Linked DNA regions of Caenorhabditis elegans. The protein of the gene in region 1 purifies or fractionates together with the protein of each later gene. This does not show direct contact. Each region holds a gene or a part of one and is shown on either strand. Other genes may lie near its edges. The genes, in order: C24H10.2, egc-2 and Y104H12D.2.

Region 1 (5,689 bases):
CTGTGATCTGTGAACTTGAATATCCGTTTTTTTTGACTTCAAGCATTGTATCGTTTAAAAGAGTTTTTTCTGAAGTGAATTTTGTTGAAAAACAACCAGGAGTACGAGGAACTTGCAGTTTGGCTTATTCGGCAATTTTAGTACGTGCCAAAATTTTCAGAAACTAAAAACTACTGAAATTGACAACAACTTTCTGATTGCCGTGTGTTTCTAGTTGTGACATGGTTTATCTGTTAAGATTTCTGAAAGATGCGGGATGCGGGCAAAATCATTTATTTTCAGCAGTTTTTGTTATCTTTTTTTTTTTTTCTACTCCTGTGGATGCATAGTAAACCTATTCAATAAAATTTTAGAAATATATTTATTTACTGTCAAAGAATGTCAATTACTCAGTGTTTACAATTTTGAAAAATCGAAAGTTATTCGAAGTATCATGATATTTAATCGTTTAGGATCATCATGACTGTATTTAGACAAAGTCCCCATTGTCGTCACTCCACCTTTAAGATATGAATAAAACGGTACCAAGTGAAGAACCTTCCATTCAGAGCAAATGGAAAAAGGCAAAGCGACGCCGTAAATAAATTTTTTGTATATTCCAATGAATCCTGAAATATGTATTAACAAATTTTATAGCTCAGTCGGTAGTGGTGGACTAAGAGGCCACGAGCTTTATCACCTAGGCACACAGTTTAATTATAAAGTTTAGCAATTCACGACTGAATGATCGCATCACCATACTGTCACCTAGCTGTACCTGTATCCCAGATTCGCAGCACCTAGCGTTTGAGGAACGGATTCTCCTTCAATCCATGTAACTTTTTCATGATGCATGCTATCCTAAAATCCTTTTTTTACATTTCACTTTATTTTGTCCAATTAAAATGCTCTATAGAAATTAGTGTCGAGAAGTATAAATTTACAACAATCGATGTTTTGCTCACTTCTCTTAGTCATGTTCAGTAATTACAAACGGAGGGACCTGTTTCACGCGGAAATCTGGAATTGGTTCACACTCGAAATTGTTGGCTTACTTTTAAAAATAAACGGGATATACAATGCGTTGCAAGGAAAATCGGAAAAACAATGGGAAAGGTTACAAAATTGAAAGAGAAGGGATTTGAGTTTGAATATACAGCATTTTGGGATCAAGTTTTGAAGCAAGGGGAAAGTCGGATTCCAGAATAAAATTGTACTATAAGTTTTGAAAGTCGTTATCAGAGCCCAGATCCAGATCCAGATCCAGGTCCAGAATTCAGAGCAAGTTTTTGGAGAGACTCCCGTAGAAGTGCTCGCTGCTTCTCCGCATTGTAATAGAAACCTTTCTGTTCGAATTTTTTGATCATTTTGCTCTCGAGTTTCTTACGATCATTATCTTGTCCCATCTTCACATCTTCTTCATCCTCATTGTTACAAGTACAGTGATGACGACACTCATGCTCATACTCTTCTTCATCTTCAAAATGATCATCCTCATCATCCGAACAGTCCAATCCGAAAAGATTTCTCTTCTCAGCTCGTTGGTGCTCCATGAAGAGGTCAAGATTGTGGAAATACTTGATGGCTTGGAAAACACCGTCATAGTGAACAACGAGACGTTCAATGTCCTCAATTTCCGGCTCAAAGCATGGACACATTCGGTAGCTCTTTTTCTCCTTGTCTCCAGGTGCCGGTGGCCTTGGGTACAACGCACTGCAACGCACATCGATCCGTCGAAGGTTTTGAAGGAAATTTTTCGCGTCGTTGGGTGGGATGATTTTTGGAGTCATTTGGTGCTGAAATTAATTTTATTATATTTTTTATATATCTTAATTTCAAAAAATCACTTACACATTTGCGAACAAGTTGGTCAAGCGAGGCTCTTGCTTCTTCAATGCGCGCATAGTCTTGTGGCAACAATGGAATGCGCAGAAAAATTGAATCCGGTGATGGAGAAAACGGCGAAATGTAAGAATCGATTTCCCGATGATGCTTTTCAATTTGTTTCTGGAAAATGAATTAAAAATTATTATGTATATATGAATTCCTGAAAATTTGTACCATATTAATTGTAATTTTCACTTCCATTTTTGAATTTTTCGATCCATTTCCTGAGTCAATGTCGTCAGTATCAAAAATCATCGAAGCTTGGTTTCTGTCTTTTTCAACACGAGCCTGGTTAGAGTTAAACCGTCGGAAGTTGCTGACTTTTTCAATATTTTTGTTCTGAAATTGAGAATTGTTTGCAAATAATAGGTCATGAAAACGAAAAATAGTTTCATTATTTGAAAATATTTTTCAATTCTAGAAATGTCAATTGCAAAAAATGCTAGACTTGAGCTAGATATTTGCAAATTTAGGGTAAAGTTGGGATTAACCTATTGGATGACCAACAAATGAGCACTGAAAACAATTAAAAGTTGGCTTAATTTGGTTAAATGTTGCGGCGAAGTTTCTAAATTTTTCTGAACATATTAAACAGTCATTTAAAATTTTGAAATGTTTCTAATCAAATCTAATTGATAAATTTGGATTTCTGAGGCAATTTCGACTGATTCTACCCCACCTCCAAAACTATATTCTTTCCATTCTTCCAGCACGAAAATGAGCCATTTTTCTTAGTCGGCTTTTTGCTATCTGGCAGCTGCTGAACAGCCGGAAAAGGGAAATGCTATTTGAAATTTAGTTAGTGGGTTTCACGAAAAAGCGTTTTTTTCTCAAGAACACAAACCTCTTTCATGTTAATTTGCACAGTCACGGCGTCATCAAACAGCTTTGATCCTCCGGTCTGAAAAATAATTGAATCTCATTATTAATTCAAAAGGCGTAAGTACTAACTAACCATTTTTATTTTTTGTGAAATTTCCGGCACCCTTTGGCTTCCATTCATGGCTCAAGCTGGAGATGTCAATGTCTGAAAATGAAAATGTTTATCAAAGCGAAATTCAAAAATTCAACAATGATAGCAACACAAAACTGTATTTTCAATCAAGCTGGCACCGCCCAAAAAAAGTTTCAAAGAAAAACGAGACAGATAAGAGATGTCGTGGTTTTTTGAAAATAAAGAATTGGTTTTTTTTTCAATAGAGATGAATTAGCTTTGAATATATAAACGTTCTGGGTTGGATGAAGAAAAAAAAACGAATACATCCCCTTATCAATAATAGAACCAAAAATATATATGAAAAGTACACCCAATGTGCAAAAAGTGAAAAAGCACTAAGAAAAACTGAACGTTCAAAAGATTTTGGTGATACACAGAACGGCACTCAATTGCGCGCGCGCGCTCGTCCTTTCCTTTGCCTCCATGAGTGTTTGTGAGTGGTGTGAGCGCAGATGGTTGTGAGTGTGAATGTGCGCTGTGGAACTCTCTACTCGCTCCGCTCCGCTCCGTACGTTTCTGAGCGCGTCCCTATGTCAAGAAGAACGAAAAGAGAGCAGAGCAGCGGTGAGCATGAGTCGTCTCTGTCTTCGAAACGTCCCTGGGCCGCGGCCAACAAAATTGCCCGGGCCAATCGGTTAGTGAGGCTTACGAAATGAGAGACGTTTTTCATTATCGATTCACTGATGTTTCCCGATACGACGGGCCAGGGTCTGTTTCAATGATAAAAATATGTTATCAATTAACACGGTGGGGAAAATGAAAGATCAAAAGCAAAAGTTAATTTGGAATCAATACATGCAAGGATGGTGGTCTGAAATCAAAGAATAACCATAATAAACAGTAATGGACAAATAAAGACTAAGTATTTTGCAATTTATGAAAGTACCTAAAACTATCGGAATGATAGAATAGTTTGGAATATTCTTCTGAAATTTTTGAAGATTTTAACCATTTTTGAACATCAGTTATAATTTAGAATGTTAAAAAACTTCACCTCAAATTGATTCCAAATGTAGTTCATGTTTTTGTGATTGCAAATCAAATGCCCGTATAGTAACAATCTGTATCAGATTACAAATTTTCTGATATTTAAAATTTAAAACCATTAAAAAATTTATATTATTACTAAATAAATCAAAACTATGTAAATTTTATTAGGATTTTTGAATGTTCTTCTTAATTTTGATGCTACTCGTTTTTAGACTTCCCCTACAAAAATTAAAAATTTCAAAAATTTGAAGCAAAAACGCAGAAAAAATTTTGGAATTAATAATGTCTTGAGATACAGATCGCTTGAGATTCGAGCTTCAGTTTTGAGTAAGAAGTTTCAATTTATTGAAGCGTTTTTTTTGATAGAAAATTACAAGTTTCGTTATTCAATTCTTCAAATTTGAAAACCCTTATCACTTAAAACAAATATATTTATTTTACGAGAATATTCAGCAAATTTTAATGAGGCTTTTACAGTTTTTGTATTGAATAATATTTTCTATGCTGAACTTTGCTATTGGCTCCGTCTACGTATATTAGAATATTAGCTACTTTTGTCGGTTTTTTGGCTATGGCTCAAATAAGATCATTCCAGTATTTTGGTCCTTTGTTTGAGTGGACCGTTATTTGGACAGTTTGAAAACGTCTCTTTTTTCAATTTTCATCTGATTGTATGCTTTCCAGCAGGCCGTTTCTCGTATCGTGGACACCAATCGTTCATCAGAATTGTCCATCTGCCATCCTTGACACGTATTAAGCCCATCCTTACTTCATTTTCACATTGCTGCTTCTTTTCACATTGCTGCTGATACAGTTTGGAGTTCATTTTCGAAAGCTAATTCAAAAAACAATTGATTGATAGGTGACATATAACTAGAAAATGATAAACCACTCTTTATGTAATTTTGGAACGTTAATTGTTATTGTAAAATAGAAAATTTAAATTTAAAACAAAATTTGGTACCCAACATTTGAAAATTAAATTAGTTAATGTTTTAATTCTCCTTTTTTTTATTGTGCTCTCATTAGGCTTACACTAGGTTTAGGCTTACAATTAGAGAATATTATTTTCTAAGCCTAAGTTTTTAAGTAATTGTAAAGTTTGAATGCTAATCCATTGCATTTTACAAATTTGGGGTTATAATACACGAAAAAGAAATGTGGGCCTATGATACACATTAAAACTTTCCACTTATTGGAGCGGGTCTCGTAACATAAAAAGTGCAGGACCAATAGAAGTCACAGTACTAATTTTTAAAAATGTGCTCAGTTTCAATAACAACAATACAATTAAAAACTCCAAGATTGAAAAACATAGCATCATTTGCACCCACAAATTGACTGTGTATTTAACGACATATGGTCTCATAAAACCTTTTATCAATTATCTCATATCCTGTAAAAAAGCAAAACAAATAAAACTAATTTAAAAATTTTAATTCTTCAAGATGGGAATACATGATTTATTTACAGTGTATTTCCGATAATGATTTTTCTCAGTTAACCAATCAAAAAGCAGTATTGGAAGCAACATAAAATTTAGAAAATACACATTATACTTTCGAAATGATTCGCTTCGAATTGATCCAGACAATGGAAACCATGGTTTAAAGACAGTGGCATTTAATCGAAATTGAGGTCAGATGGTGATGTCGTTTTTATTCGCTCTGTCACCTGTAGATAAAACTGAGATAGTATTCGGCATCAGATAGGCATGTTTGAATTTTGACGAGATCCGCCTGAAAAGATAAACGATTGAAAAATGAAACTTGAAAAGTCACATAGGAGGAAAAAGGGCGCTCATCAAATTACCTCAAATCCTACATAACAAAATCG
Region 2 (4,769 bases), on another chromosome or scaffold:
AAAGTTCGAAAACCGGCAATTGCCGAAATTGCAGATTGCCAGAAATTTCCGATTGCCGCGCAGCCCTGATATATACATACGTTGAACTTTTATATCTGAGTGTGTTTGGAAAAAATAGGACACTGACAATCAAATTGTCCGTTGTCACAAGGCCACTGTGTCGCTGATAAATAATTTTTTGCAGAAACCCCGTGTCCATGGTGACTGTGAACATGGATTGATCGTTGATCTCATTTGGTCTGATCCAAATCGAAAAGATGACACAATTCAATTCAATAAAATGCGAGGAATTTCGACACTTTTCGGAAAATCAGTCGTTGACAATTTGTGCACTACACTTGCTATTGACCTGATTATCAGAGCTCATGAAATGAAAGAGGTTTATGTTTTTCATCTATACCTTTCATCTATGGTAGTATAATCATTTGAAAATTGCGAATCGTTCAATTTCGCATGTTAAATATTTTTTGTTTCCAGAAAGGACATACTTTTGAGTTTGACAACCGTCTTCTGACAGTCTTCTCAGCGCCTTATTATTCTGGACACAATTCCAATTTGGGATCAGTTGCTACAATCAGTAAAAGTTTGAAATTGCGAATCGTGACTCTGAAACCTAATAAGGGATATGATCGCTCTAAATTGGACAAGAGAACTCTTCACGATTTCGAAAAAAACTTTCAGCCACTTGATGAGAATCCTAGAAAAAACAGTGAGTTCTCCTATTATTTATTGCAAAAATCTATAAAAACAACATACTTATCCGATTGTTTTAATATTCAATTTTTTACAGTAAGTTGCCAATTCAATGTTCCACCAAACGGGCAGAAAATGTCACCATTTCTTGGAGAATACTCGATGTTTGCCCATGAAACACAGTTTTGTAAGAAAGACAATGAGACACCTGTGAAGAAGCCTTATAGGTGAGATTAAAGCTTCAGTACCTCTGGAAAATGTGACCGTCTAATTATTCGGAAACATGACTTCACAATCATGTTATAGGAGCATTTTCAATATGTGTAATTTCCAGCTCAAACCAAGATGAAGATCATTCTGTATTGGACATGATTCGCAAGACACAGAAAGGATATGGAGTAGAAGTTAGTTTGAAGTAAGTATCATTTACTATATATAAAGCGCTTATTCTGTGTGTCCATAGTTTGTAGTCTATGTAGCCTTTGTAGTCTGTGAAGTTTTGGCTTCTGGAGGGATAGTGAGTTAGGGTTAGTGTAGGGATATAGTTGGGGTACTGTAGTGGTACAATAGTGGTACGGTAGGAATACTGTAGGGTTACGGTAGTTTCATAAAAAATTAATTTTCAGCCCCAGAAGTCGGGGGCCGCGCCGAAGGTGCGGTCCACGGCTGGTTTTTTATATGCGAAGAAGTTTTTTCATGTTTACAATATTTCCAGAGATAAAGTCATGTCTCTTGAATCAATCCGCAAAAAATTGGGAATGACTACTAGTACGACGCCGCCTCCGCCAAGAACTCCATCTCCGGACGCTCCACTCGCCCAATCTCCGCCAATTCCACGATCGCCTCCGAGTTCTACTGAAAATGCGTAGATTTCCTTTGAATGAAGTATACTGTAGAAAATGTTCAAGTTTGAGTGTGTATAATTATGAAACGAGAGTAACATGAAACACTTTTATGAAATGAGGTTGAAGACTCAAATCAAAAATACAAGTTTTCAAATTTAGGACAGAAACAATTCCAGAACGTAAAAAACAATACCTAGAAGTCAATAAATGGAACAACAATGAAAAACAGTAAAAATACGCTGCAAATTGGGCAGAGTTCCCAATAGTAATTATTAAACATTTTCCTTGATAGCATCATAATTATCAGAAATTATGAATTTTGTGAAGCGACCGGCACGAACTGGGCAGCGATGACACGGACGTTGGGCGGAAGAACTCGTGGGAAATTGATGATAGTCGTCTCCTCGAAGTGGAATTCTCCATCGCGCATCACAGTTCTGCGTGTCTCGATTGACAAAGTCTCCGTAGAAATTTCTGTAATAATGAACATTATACAATTATAGAATTTTGATAATCTCACGTTTGGCTCCTTCTCTGCTCTGTAGAGTGTTGATTGGAGCAACTGGTGGCACTTCTTTCATCAATTTTTCAGCTGGCCCTTTTCCAGTGATAGTCATCACGTATGGCGACGGAGCTACCGGCTCGACATTGCTGAGCTTCAAAGCATTGTCCAACTGCTCTGAGAATTTGTCAATTTCGGGCGACATCATTGGTGCTGTGAAACCACTTCTCACGCTGCCAACACTTCTTGGGGTGAGACTGTTGATGCTGTAGCCGTACCCTCCATAATAAGACTCACGGGCCTTTTGATTGTCCAACTTGCTTTGATACAGTCCACCTGAAAACATAAAAATTGTTACGTTTTCCTAGTATTCAAACAATAACCTCCATGCAAAGCCTTCATATTAGAAGAGTATCTTGATGCGTCTTCTTGGAGTAAATCTTTCGTCTCAAATGGTTCCACTTCGATATCTTTTCCATCTCCGTGTTCATCCGTTTCTCCAACCTTCTTCGGGCACATTCTCGAAATGTGTCCATGCTCTTGACAATGGAAGCAGTGGCCTGGCCCACCTCGCCCACGTCTACCGGTTCGGCGGCCAGAGCGTGGTCTCTTCGATGAAGATCCCATACCATCGGATCGGGGCGAACTTCGGAAAGATCCACGCCGTGGACTACCCATTATATTCTCAGATGGCAGAGGTGTCACGCAACGTTCATTATTCATGTAAAGAGCATCCGAAACAGCAACACGAGATGATCTGCTTTCTCGATAACTGCTGTACCCTCCTCGTACGGAACCAAATCCAGAACTGTCGTTTAGGTGAGAGGAGTTTCTGGGGATTCTACCGCCAAGTCCACTAACGGATCCAAAATCAGAGAAGCCTTCACCTCCTCCAAATCCTCCTCGATACTTTCTCGGTTGATCAGTTAGCGCTCCGAATGCTCCACTATTTTGAGTTTTTGGCCATGGAGAGTATTGAGCTCTCTCAAGATAATGTTGTCTGTCCTGAAATGAATAGTTTACAAATTGTCATTAATTTGATAAAAAATACCGTTCTCGCCGACATTCCGTTTTCCATTGACTTCATTTCACTCGACAATTCCGACATATCCGACCGAAATGTCTAAAAAAATTATTTTGAGAAACTGGCAGAACGCTGAATATTTAAAAATTAATCTAAAAACCATTAATTCATCAGAAATGGGTGAGAGAAATGAAGAAAATTGAAGAAACGTGCCGAACGAGTTCAGAATTTCGTGTCGGGACCAAAACCTACAGTAACCAAGTCAGTATTTAAAAACGCGTTATTAAGAGGCACTACAAAACGGGGATCTGCGGAAAAATGTTATTCCAATTTCTCTTTCAAGCGAATCCGATAATTTAAATATTATTCGTATTTATTCATTAAATTAAAAGAGAAGGCGTATAAAACACAATTGGCAGCTTGCCGAACAGCGGAGCTGATTACTGTGTTGGAAAAAACAGAAAAATTTAATTAATTGACATACTAATGATAAAAGGGAAGAGTGTGGACAAAGTTGAAATGTGGAAATTCGAAACTTGCCTAAAATTAATTTAGGAGCCTCTATAAGAGGAAAAATAATTGAGTAAAATGATAGTGAATTATCAGAGATCTCATTGGATGTTGCATTGAGATAGATGTTGTATTTTATATGATAAAAAACGAAATGTACATCAAAAGAAAAAAATGCAAGACGTTGTTAATCAAGATCGATGACTTCTTGAACCTGCTGCGGATCATGGTTGAAATTTTTGCTTAGATACATATCACGAAGCTGACGGGCATCTATAAATTTTAAAAAATTATACGAAATTTTTTCTAGTAAACTAACGATTCTCAAAAACACTTCCGACAGCGTCAAGAATTGTTCCATCACGTAGTTTCACATAATATCCATTTTTCGGAACAACTAACTGTATTGGTGTATTTGCCTGAACCTGATGAAGCTGATCTCTATGTCCGACAATGGGAAAAACGAGTTCTAAAAATTTGAATTTTCAAAAAAACTTAAACGTCAAACTCACGTCTATCAGTAATCAATTGTTGAACTGCTCCAGCCGGGGAAAATGATGGTATTTTGCTCATAACAGCTCCCGGAAAAGCTGATGGATCTCTTGGAGGAAGCATTTGTTGAGGGTTTCCTATAGCTCCTCCATTGTTATTATTCGGATAGCCATTGTTGAATGACGTCATCGTATGACCACCTCCTTGGTGATGGAATTGACTGACATTCATTCGAAGCGTGTGAGGCATTGGTGATGGACGAATTGATGGAATTTGAGGTGATGGTCCATGAGGTGGAAATTGTGACATGTTTGGCATCGGTTGTGGAAATTGCTGTGGTGGATAAGATCCAAAATTGGGTGCAAGCTGATTAGGAGATTGTTGCCAATGATTATTGAAACTATTTTGCATGTTATTATTGAACATCGGAACTGGTGGTGGACCCATCATTCCCATTGAGCTTCCAGGAGCATTGTTATAAAAGTTAGAACTGCTCAGGCCACTCAATGGATCATAGTTCTCCATACGTCGTTCTCTATCAAAAAGTAATTGAGCTTCTCGTTTTTCCTGCTCGCTGAGTGATTGCTCTGACTCCATTATCAAGGTTTCATGAAGGAACGGTTTCCCGGCAAACATTTGACTCATTCTCTTAGTGATTGAGTCTAGAACCGGATCTCCGAAATCCCAATCATCTGTATTCCAT
Region 3 (8,178 bases), on another chromosome or scaffold:
TTAGCACTATGTCATTTTTTAATGAAAAATCGAATTTGTGGTTACCGTATCCCTAAATCCGTGCAAAAACCGCATCAATGCACCGGATTTTACGACAAAATGCGGAAAAACGCGGTTCTACGTAATAATCGAATTTTTTCTGCATTTTGTCGTAAGATCCGATGCATTGGTGTGATGTTTGGGGCTACAGTAACCCAAAAATGACAATTTTTCGGCGTTTTCCGCACCAAAAATCGATAATTAAGTGGATTTTGCAGTTTTTCCGCAAAAAAAAAACCTACCCGTCTTATCTCGAATCTTGGGCGGTGTGATTGATTCCACAAATGCACAAATGATAGTTTCTCCGGTGCAGCGGCTCGCGATACTTGCACAATCGTCTCGATCGCACATTTTCTATGGATTTTCCGGTTTTTTGGGGTAAAAAATGGGTGAAAATAGGTAAAAAAAAGCCGGAATTTTAACCGATTTTGTGCGGAAAATAAGTGCAAAATTGTGAAAAAAAAACCCAATAATTAGTATTGACAAACACGTTTTCGAGAATAAAACCGAAAAAAAAACCAAAAAAAAAATCCCATTATTCCGTGCAATTTTCACGGGAAAAATAGCAATCTGGAAGTGCTGACGGTGGCAATTGATCCAATATTGATGAGTATCGATCCATATCTTCTGGATGATTTTGGAGCAGTTTTCGGAACATGATTGTCTGAATATTTCAGGTTTTTAGGCGAAAATTTAGTGATTTTGACAAAGTTTTCACGTGAAAAATTGAAAATTTGGGCATAGCTTCCGCATCTCCAGTGACAAATGTGCTCTATTGCACAAATTGTTGGTTGGAATACGGTATTTATTGCATGTTTCAGCCGAGAATACCACTATTCAAACCATCAATTCGGATAGAGAAACACACAAGTCACAGACAATATACAGGGAAATTCAGTTCAGTTGCCGAGTTGCCGTACTCAAAATTTATAGCATTCCTCGGTAACTGGGATGAAAAACGCCGAAAATGTTAGAAAAAAAAACGGATAAGCTTAGAAATTCAGATTTTCAACACAATTTTGAGAAAAATTAGCAAAATCCAAGCTAATCCTAGGTTTTCAACAAAAAATTGGAAATTAGGTAGAATTTTTCGGTTTTTACAGCTTTTTAATTTAAAAAACTTTTTTAAAGTTTAAAAAAAATTTACATTTTTGGAAAAAAAACTAGTCAAAATGTGTGAAATTTTTCAAATTTTTTGAAAAATGTCGTCAGAAAATTGATTTAAATTTAGAAAATGGACTAAAACTTTTTCTAAGCGTAGCAAAATCGGTCAAAGTATCCTAATTTGTTTAGATATTTGAAAAATTTTGAATTTTTTTTAATTCCTGAAAATTTCCAATTTTTCATTTTTTTGCAAAGGAGGCCAGAAATATCTGAAAACGGTATGGAAAATGGGTTTTCCGAATTTTTATCTAATTTTTGTTGACAAAATAATTTAATTTACATAAAAATCAACCTTTTTAATAAAATATTCACATTTCTAACAAAAGTTAGTAAAATATCAAATTTTTAGCGCATTTTTAGTAAAAATTAAGGCTCTAAAATGCCAATTAAAGTGGAAAATTATAAAAAATTCTGCATAAAACCGGTAAAATTTAACCAGAAATATCAAAATTTCAGCCAAAGTGGGAGCTTCCAAAATAAACTTTTTGGATCTAAAATTGAATGTTTTTTTTTCACTTTTTTTAACGCAAAATTCCGAATTTCCAGGCAATTTAGGGTTAAAATTTCCGATTTTCTCAGCTCATTTTTAGCGGAAAATCCCAAATTTCCACTCAAAACCCCGTACCACAAGACACGCAGGAGTCTGTGCATACGAATCCGACGTGTTCACTTTTTTCGGCATCACAAGTTCATGAGAATCGGCAATTTTTTTCCATTCAACAGCGTCATATCTTCCATTGATTAGCATAGCTTTGAACATAACGTGATTATCGATTGATATGACGTCATTTAGTGCTCGAGCCGAAGGACTATCATCTGCTCCGCCAGTGTATTTTAGAATTGGGCATCTGCAAAAAAAAAGGCGATTTTTGGTGAAAATTTTAAGTTTTTTGGCCAAAAATTTATGAAATTTGGCCCAATTTTGGCTTTTAAAAGGTGTTTTTCCTGAAAAATGAAAATTTGGGCATAGCTTCCGCATCCCCGGTGACAAATGTGCTCTATTGCACCGAATTGTTGGTTGGAATACGGTATTTATTGCATATTTCAGCCGAGAATACCACTATTCAAACCATCAATTCGGATAGAGAAACACACAAGTCACAGACAGTATTGGGAAATTCAGTTGCCAAGTTGCCGTATAATTTTGACCTACTTTGCGCAAAGTCTGAAAAGGTTGGGTCTCGCCACGAAAAAAAATTCGAATTTCCTTTAAAAATAAACAAAAAATACAAATTTTCCGATTTTCATGGGAAAAACATCGAAAAATTCAAAAATTTGCCGTTTTTTCCGTAAAAAACGGATTTTTTACCTGGAAAAAGCCACAAAAAATTCCGAAAAACAAGCGGAAAAGCTAAAAATTCTAATTTTCAGCAGGATTTTGATAAAAAATTAGAACAATCCAAGAAACCACTAGGTTTTCAACAAAAATTGGAAATTGAGCAGAATTTTTCAGTTTTTACAGCTTTAAAAAAAAACATCATAAATTCCGAGTTACCGTACCCAAATTTATAGCTTTCCTCGGAAACTGGGATTTAAAAAAACCCAAAAAACTACCAATTTTTAACAGAAAATTGTCAGAAAAAAGGGATTTTTATGGATTTTTTTTCAAATTTTATAATAAATTTTAATGTCGAAATTTCCAAATTTTCTACTTTACACCCGAAAACAGCCAAATTTCCGCGCTAAATGAAAATTTGGGCATAGCTTCTGCATCTCCAGTGACAAATGTGCTCTATTGCACAAATTGTTGGTTGGAATACGGTATTTATTGCATATTTCAGCCGAGAATACCACTATTCAAACCATCAATTCGGATAGAGAAACACACAAGTCACAGACAATATACAGGGAAATTTTCTGAAAATTTTCTGGATTTTTGACATTTTCAACCAAAAATATTCTAGAATTTCACAGAAAAATCTGGAAAATTCCAGGATTTTTCCTATATCATTTACTATATATAAAGCGCGTGTCCTTCTGTCCTTATGTAGTTTGATCTCTGATCAGAGCAACGAAATTTTGGGAAACCTTATGCTAAGTGCGCAGCAGACATCGATCGAGGTCCGCGATAGACACCGTATATCTAATGTGTTTTCTCAAAAAGTCGGGGGCCGCGCCGTAGGTGCGGTCCACGGCTGGTTTCTTATATTTTCCACATAGAAAATGTGAATTTCCCGATTTTTTTCCAATATTTTGGTGAAATTGTATGATATTCACTGAAAAAAATGTAAAAACTGATGAAATTTGATGATCAAATGCAATTTTCTCCGAAAATTTGTACAAATTTCGATTTATGGTCAACATTTTGACATTTTTCCGGAATTTTTCTGGTAAAATTTCCAGATTTTCACTGAAGAAATTTTGTAAAAAGCCAATTTTTAGTGAAAGTTTATGTTTCTGTGAAATTAGCTTTTATATTTCTAATTTCTGTCTGAAAATAAGCCCGAAACAGTCAATTTTTCTCGATTTTACAGAGTTTTTATCTAAAAATTCGATTTTTTTTTTTCGTTTTTTTTACAGAAAGTTATAAAATTAAGATTTTTAAGATTTTTTTTAGTTTTTAACATTACTAACGTAACAAGTATTCCATTCTTTTCATCTAATACATGTGCTTCCATTTCATCAACTTCCACAACGACTCCCCACGAAATTTTTACTTCTCCAGTTGCTACCGCCTGAAAAAAATTGAAATTTTTATTGATTTTCGGCATATTTTGGGGGAAAAATTTGAGCATTTTTCGTGTTTTCAGCTCGAAAATTGGGCGAAAATTGAGTTTTTTGTGAATTTTTTGCAATGTTTCGGTTTTTAGGCAAAAATTTGGGCATTTTTAATTAATTTTCCGAGTTTTTAGCCGAAAAAAAATTTTTTTTGGCCAAAAAAAACAGATTTTTGTATAATTAGTGCAATTTGGATAGTTTTTCCGTGTTTTGAACAGAAAATTGGACAAAAAGTCTTTTTTTTTTTTTGGATATTTTTTCGCAATTTTTAGGTTCTTATACAAAAATTTGGGTATTTTAGAGTATTTTCCAGGTTTTAGCGGAAATTTGGGCAAAAAATTGAACTTTTTGGAGAACTTTTAGGTTTTTATACAAAAATTTGGATATTTTAGATCATTTTTAAGTTGTTAGCTGAAATTTGGGCAAAAATACCAAAATGGCTCAACTTTGTCATAAAAATTCGTTTTTTCGGGAGAAAAGTTATATTTTTAGTCGAAATTTGCCATTTTTTAAATTTTTTAGCTCTAAATTCACATTTTTTTACTTGAACATTGGACATTCGGCGGCTCAAAACTCCAATTTTCTGCTCTAAATTCACTTTTTCAGCAGTTTTCCGAGCTCTAGATCAAAATTTATCGATTTTTCTCGATTTTCCACCTCTTTCTCCTCATTTTCCTCGACAACAAAGTGTTTTACAGCCTCAACAGCGACCCATTTACACCCTTTTCGTTCGATTTGCTCCTTGATTTTTAGCACCAGTTGATTGCTGGTATTCACGTATCGGCCCACATTTTTCACGATTTTCGCGTCAAAAGCGTCTCCCGGCACGAAAATTGTGCCTTTTTCGTCGTTTTGAGCAAACGCGTAGCTATCCGTGGTGCTGGTCACCTGGGCGATCTGGAAATACGGGATTTTCGAGATTTTTTAGCTTTAAAACTATGGAAAATTCAATTTTCTGACTATTTTTTCACTTAAAACCAAGTTTTTAACCCTAAAAACCCACCAATGGCCCGAAAACTTCATTGGAAATTCTGGCGGCCGCCAACATTGAGCCTTCGAGCTTTTTCACGAGTTTTGCCTGATAATTGCAGTTATTTTTGCGTCCTATCTGTTTAATAACCACCATTTGCACAGTTTCGTTGTATCTGAAACACTTTATCGATTTTTTCCGGGAAAAGTTCGAAAAAACTTGAATTTTCACCCAAAACTTTGATTTTTAATTGATTTATGTAACTTTTCCAGCAAAAAAAACTCACGAAAACTTGTCGAGCAAGCTTAAAAGCGTCTCGTTCTTGGTTCTGGCCGCTGCAATCGGTATAAATACGTTTCCAAGACTGGTGGTGGCGAATGCGTAGGTTTCCTCAAGTTTTGAGATGATTCCAGACAATTCCGTTGGTTCTGGCATAGTTTTTTGCTTGAAATCTCTAAATTTTCAGTTATTCTAACAAAAAATCACGAAAAAACCGTTGAAATCAAAGATTTTGGCTCAAAAATAAACAATTTTATTCAAAAAACAAAACGCGATAAACAACACGCGCTGGCGGGATATCGGAGTGTCGTTAATTCAAATGCGCGGGAGTTCAAACCGAAAAATTGCAATATATCGCAGAAAGTGCGGCAAAACCCCGATTTAAATCAATTTAATTCGCAATTTCAAAAGATTTTAGTAATGAAACATTAATAAATTTATTCCAGTGTTCAGAAGTTGCATATGTGTGAAGTAGGTCAATGATATATGGGGGAAAATCACGAGAAAAAAAAATCGATAAAAGTTCACAAAAATGGTGTAGAAAGTGAGAAAAAGCACATTAGTCAGGGTAAATTAAAAGAATTGCGCCATGTTGGGCAGAAAATGAGATTCTATTAACAATATGCGACAATTTTCGGCGAAAAAACACAATAAAAACAGAAGAAAAACGACAATTTTTAGGTAAAAGTCGATAATTTCAGGGTTTTTTTGGAAAAATCAATAATATTAGCGGTTACTATTAGAATTCTAGGATACTAGGCAATTCTACAAGCAATTTAATTAAGAAAATAGGGGAAAATACAAAAAAAACAGGAATTATCGATTTTCCGGCGGAAAAATCGATAATTTTGTGGATTTTGTTGGCGGAAATGGTGGTGGAATTGTGAGAGGAAGTGATTTTTAATGATAATTAAAAAGAAAACAAGAGATCGGTTGAAAAATTATCGATTTTCAAGCAAAAAATCGATAGTTTGGGCGGAATTGGTCATGGAATTGTAATCGGAAGTGATTTTTAGCAATAATTCAAAAAAAAAACAACGAGATCGGGAAAAAGTGATGAAAAAATAGCGAAAAATCGATAAATTTCGTAAAAAATCGATTTTTCTGTAATTTAGAATTGGTCATGGAATTGTAATCGGAATTGATTTTTTTGACATGAAATCGGGATAAAAACAACGAGATCGGGAAAAAGTGATGAAAAATTTGCGAAAAATCGATAAATTTCTAGCGGAAAATCGATTTTCAGTGGGTTTTAAAGAAAACTATCATGAATTCATGATAGCAATAGGGGGGGGGGGGGTTTCAGTGAGAAATTAGGATAAATTGATTTTTAAATATTAGCGAAAAATCGATAAAAATCGATTTTCTATCAAAAAAAAATCAATAATAATTAATTCCCTAGCGGAAAAATCGATTTTTCAGTGGGTTTTTAAAGAAAATTATTATGAATCAGTGGGAAATCGAGTGAAAACGACGGCAAATTATAGAAAATACGAATTCAACAGAAAAAAATCGATAATTATTGATTTTCCAGGGGAAAAAAACAATTTTTCCAGTCGGAATTCAAATTAAAAACCGGCAAAATTGCGACAAAACGTGACGAATGTTCAGTAATCTTGATTTTCAGTTCGTTGACGTCGAGCACTGTGCCGAGCGGCCGAAAAATCGATAATCCATGCGAATTTTCAAGTTTTTCGCACATTTTTCCGTTCATCCAAAGGGTGAAGCATGGGACATCGATGTGGGCGTTGAAGCGGTTCTGGAAATTAAAAAATTAAAAAATTTTGAGATTTTTCAGGGCGAAAATCGCATTTTTCAATGAAAATTGGATGAAAATCTTGCGCAAATACACTGAAACTGACAGCAATTTGCAAAAAATTCGAATTTTCGGTGAAATTTACCTTTAAAAAAAAATGAAATTTTCTATATTTTTTGTCGTAACTCCGCAGTTTTTCGTAGGATTTAGTGTGGACTAGGTTACTGTAGCACCAAAAGTTTGCAGTGCACCAGATCTTACGACAAACTGCAGAAAATTTAAATTTTTATTGAAAATCTCCTAAAACATGCAATTTGATCTCAATTTCCACCTAAAATTCAAGTAAAAGGTGTTTGCACAAATTTGACGCTACAGTAATCCAAAAAACACCAGATTTGACGACAATTTGCAGAAAAATCTGAATATTCGGTCAAATTATCAACAAAAAAAAAAGAAGCAATTTTCTAGATTTTTTCACGTTTTTGAACTCAATTTTTACTGAAAATTCAAGTTTTGTGCAATTTGTCGTAAAATACAGTGTTTTGCACACATCTGACGCTACAGTAATCCAAGAAACACCAGATTTGACGACAATTCGCAGAAAATTCGAATTTTCGGTGAAATTTACCTTTAAAAAAAAAGCCATTTTCTTTACTTTTTCACGTTTTTGAACTCAATTCTTACCGAAAATTCAAGAAATTTTTACATTTCTGCAATTTGTCGTAAGATTCTGTGTACTGCACATATATACGGCTACAGTAATCTAAGAAACACCGGATTCGACGACAACTTGCAGAAATTTCGACTTTTTTCTGCAATTTGTCGTCAGATTTGGTGTAAACACCGATTTATGGCTACAGTAACCGGAAAACTGGATTTGAACGGTTTTTTTTTGGTAAAAAATGGAGTTTTTCTACAAAAAGTATTAAATTGCGCAAAATTTTGACGACAAAACGCGAAAAATTCAAATTCTACGTTTAAACGGGATTATTCTGCATTCTGTCGTAAGGTTCGGTGTATTACCGATGTGTTTGCACAGGACCAGGAGTTTTCGCAGTTTTTCGCAGCTCAAAAATCGCACTTTCACGGCTGAAAAATCACGTTTTCCGGATTTGTAGAGAAAATTCACGATAAATTCAAAATTTTCATTGAAAATCGTACGAAAATCGCGATTTCCATATAAAATTTGTTGTAAAAGCCCCATTTTTCACACATTTTCGAATCATTTTGAAACAAAAATTATTTATTTTTA

What was found.
Region 2: the proteins of C24H10.2 (region 1) and egc-2 fractionate together in Caenorhabditis elegans (co-fractionation; one large-scale study listed by BioGRID). This does not show direct contact.
Region 3: the proteins of C24H10.2 (region 1) and Y104H12D.2 fractionate together in Caenorhabditis elegans (co-fractionation; one large-scale study listed by BioGRID). This does not show direct contact.

The regions. Positions count from the first base shown.
Region 1 is NC_003284.9:5,061,824-5,067,512, reverse strand, and holds C24H10.2 (uncharacterized protein), read right to left. Parts: upstream 2,912-5,689; 5' UTR 2,870-2,911; coding exon 2,822-2,869; intron 2,768-2,821; coding exon 2,711-2,767; intron 2,206-2,710; coding exon 2,041-2,205; intron 1,987-2,040; coding exon 1,831-1,986; intron 1,776-1,830; coding exon 1,218-1,775; 3' UTR 850-1,217; downstream 1-849. Other genes in the region: C24H10.3 (NR LBD domain-containing protein), read right to left, coding at 5,524-5,592, 5,666-5,689.
Region 2 is NC_003282.8:8,900,040-8,904,808, reverse strand, and holds egc-2 (CCHC-type domain-containing protein), read right to left. Parts: upstream 3,164-4,769; 5' UTR 3,149-3,163; coding exon 3,092-3,148; intron 3,046-3,091; coding exon 2,424-3,045; intron 2,377-2,423; coding exon 2,059-2,376; intron 2,013-2,058; coding exon 1,849-2,012; 3' UTR 1,632-1,848; downstream 1-1,631. Other genes in the region: Putative serine/threonine-protein phosphatase C27B7.6, read left to right, coding at 185-379, 478-709, 791-920, 1,028-1,108, 1,409-1,562; rad-54.L2 (Helicase ARIP4), read right to left, coding at 3,762-3,847, 3,894-4,043, 4,087-4,769.
Region 3 is NC_003282.8:1,175,187-1,183,364, reverse strand, and holds Y104H12D.2 (DUF7930 domain-containing protein), read right to left. Parts: upstream 5,344-8,178; 5' UTR 5,327-5,343; coding exon 5,178-5,326; intron 5,067-5,177; coding exon 4,925-5,066; intron 4,819-4,924; coding exon 4,579-4,818; intron 3,879-4,578; coding exon 3,778-3,878; intron 2,052-3,777; coding exon 1,829-2,051; intron 774-1,828; exon of another isoform or gene 704-773; coding exon 575-703; 3' UTR 501-574; downstream 1-500. Other genes in the region: rmif-2 (RecQ-mediated genome instability protein 2 homolog), read right to left, coding at 282-390; cec-2 (Chromo domain-containing protein), read right to left, coding at 6,690-6,929.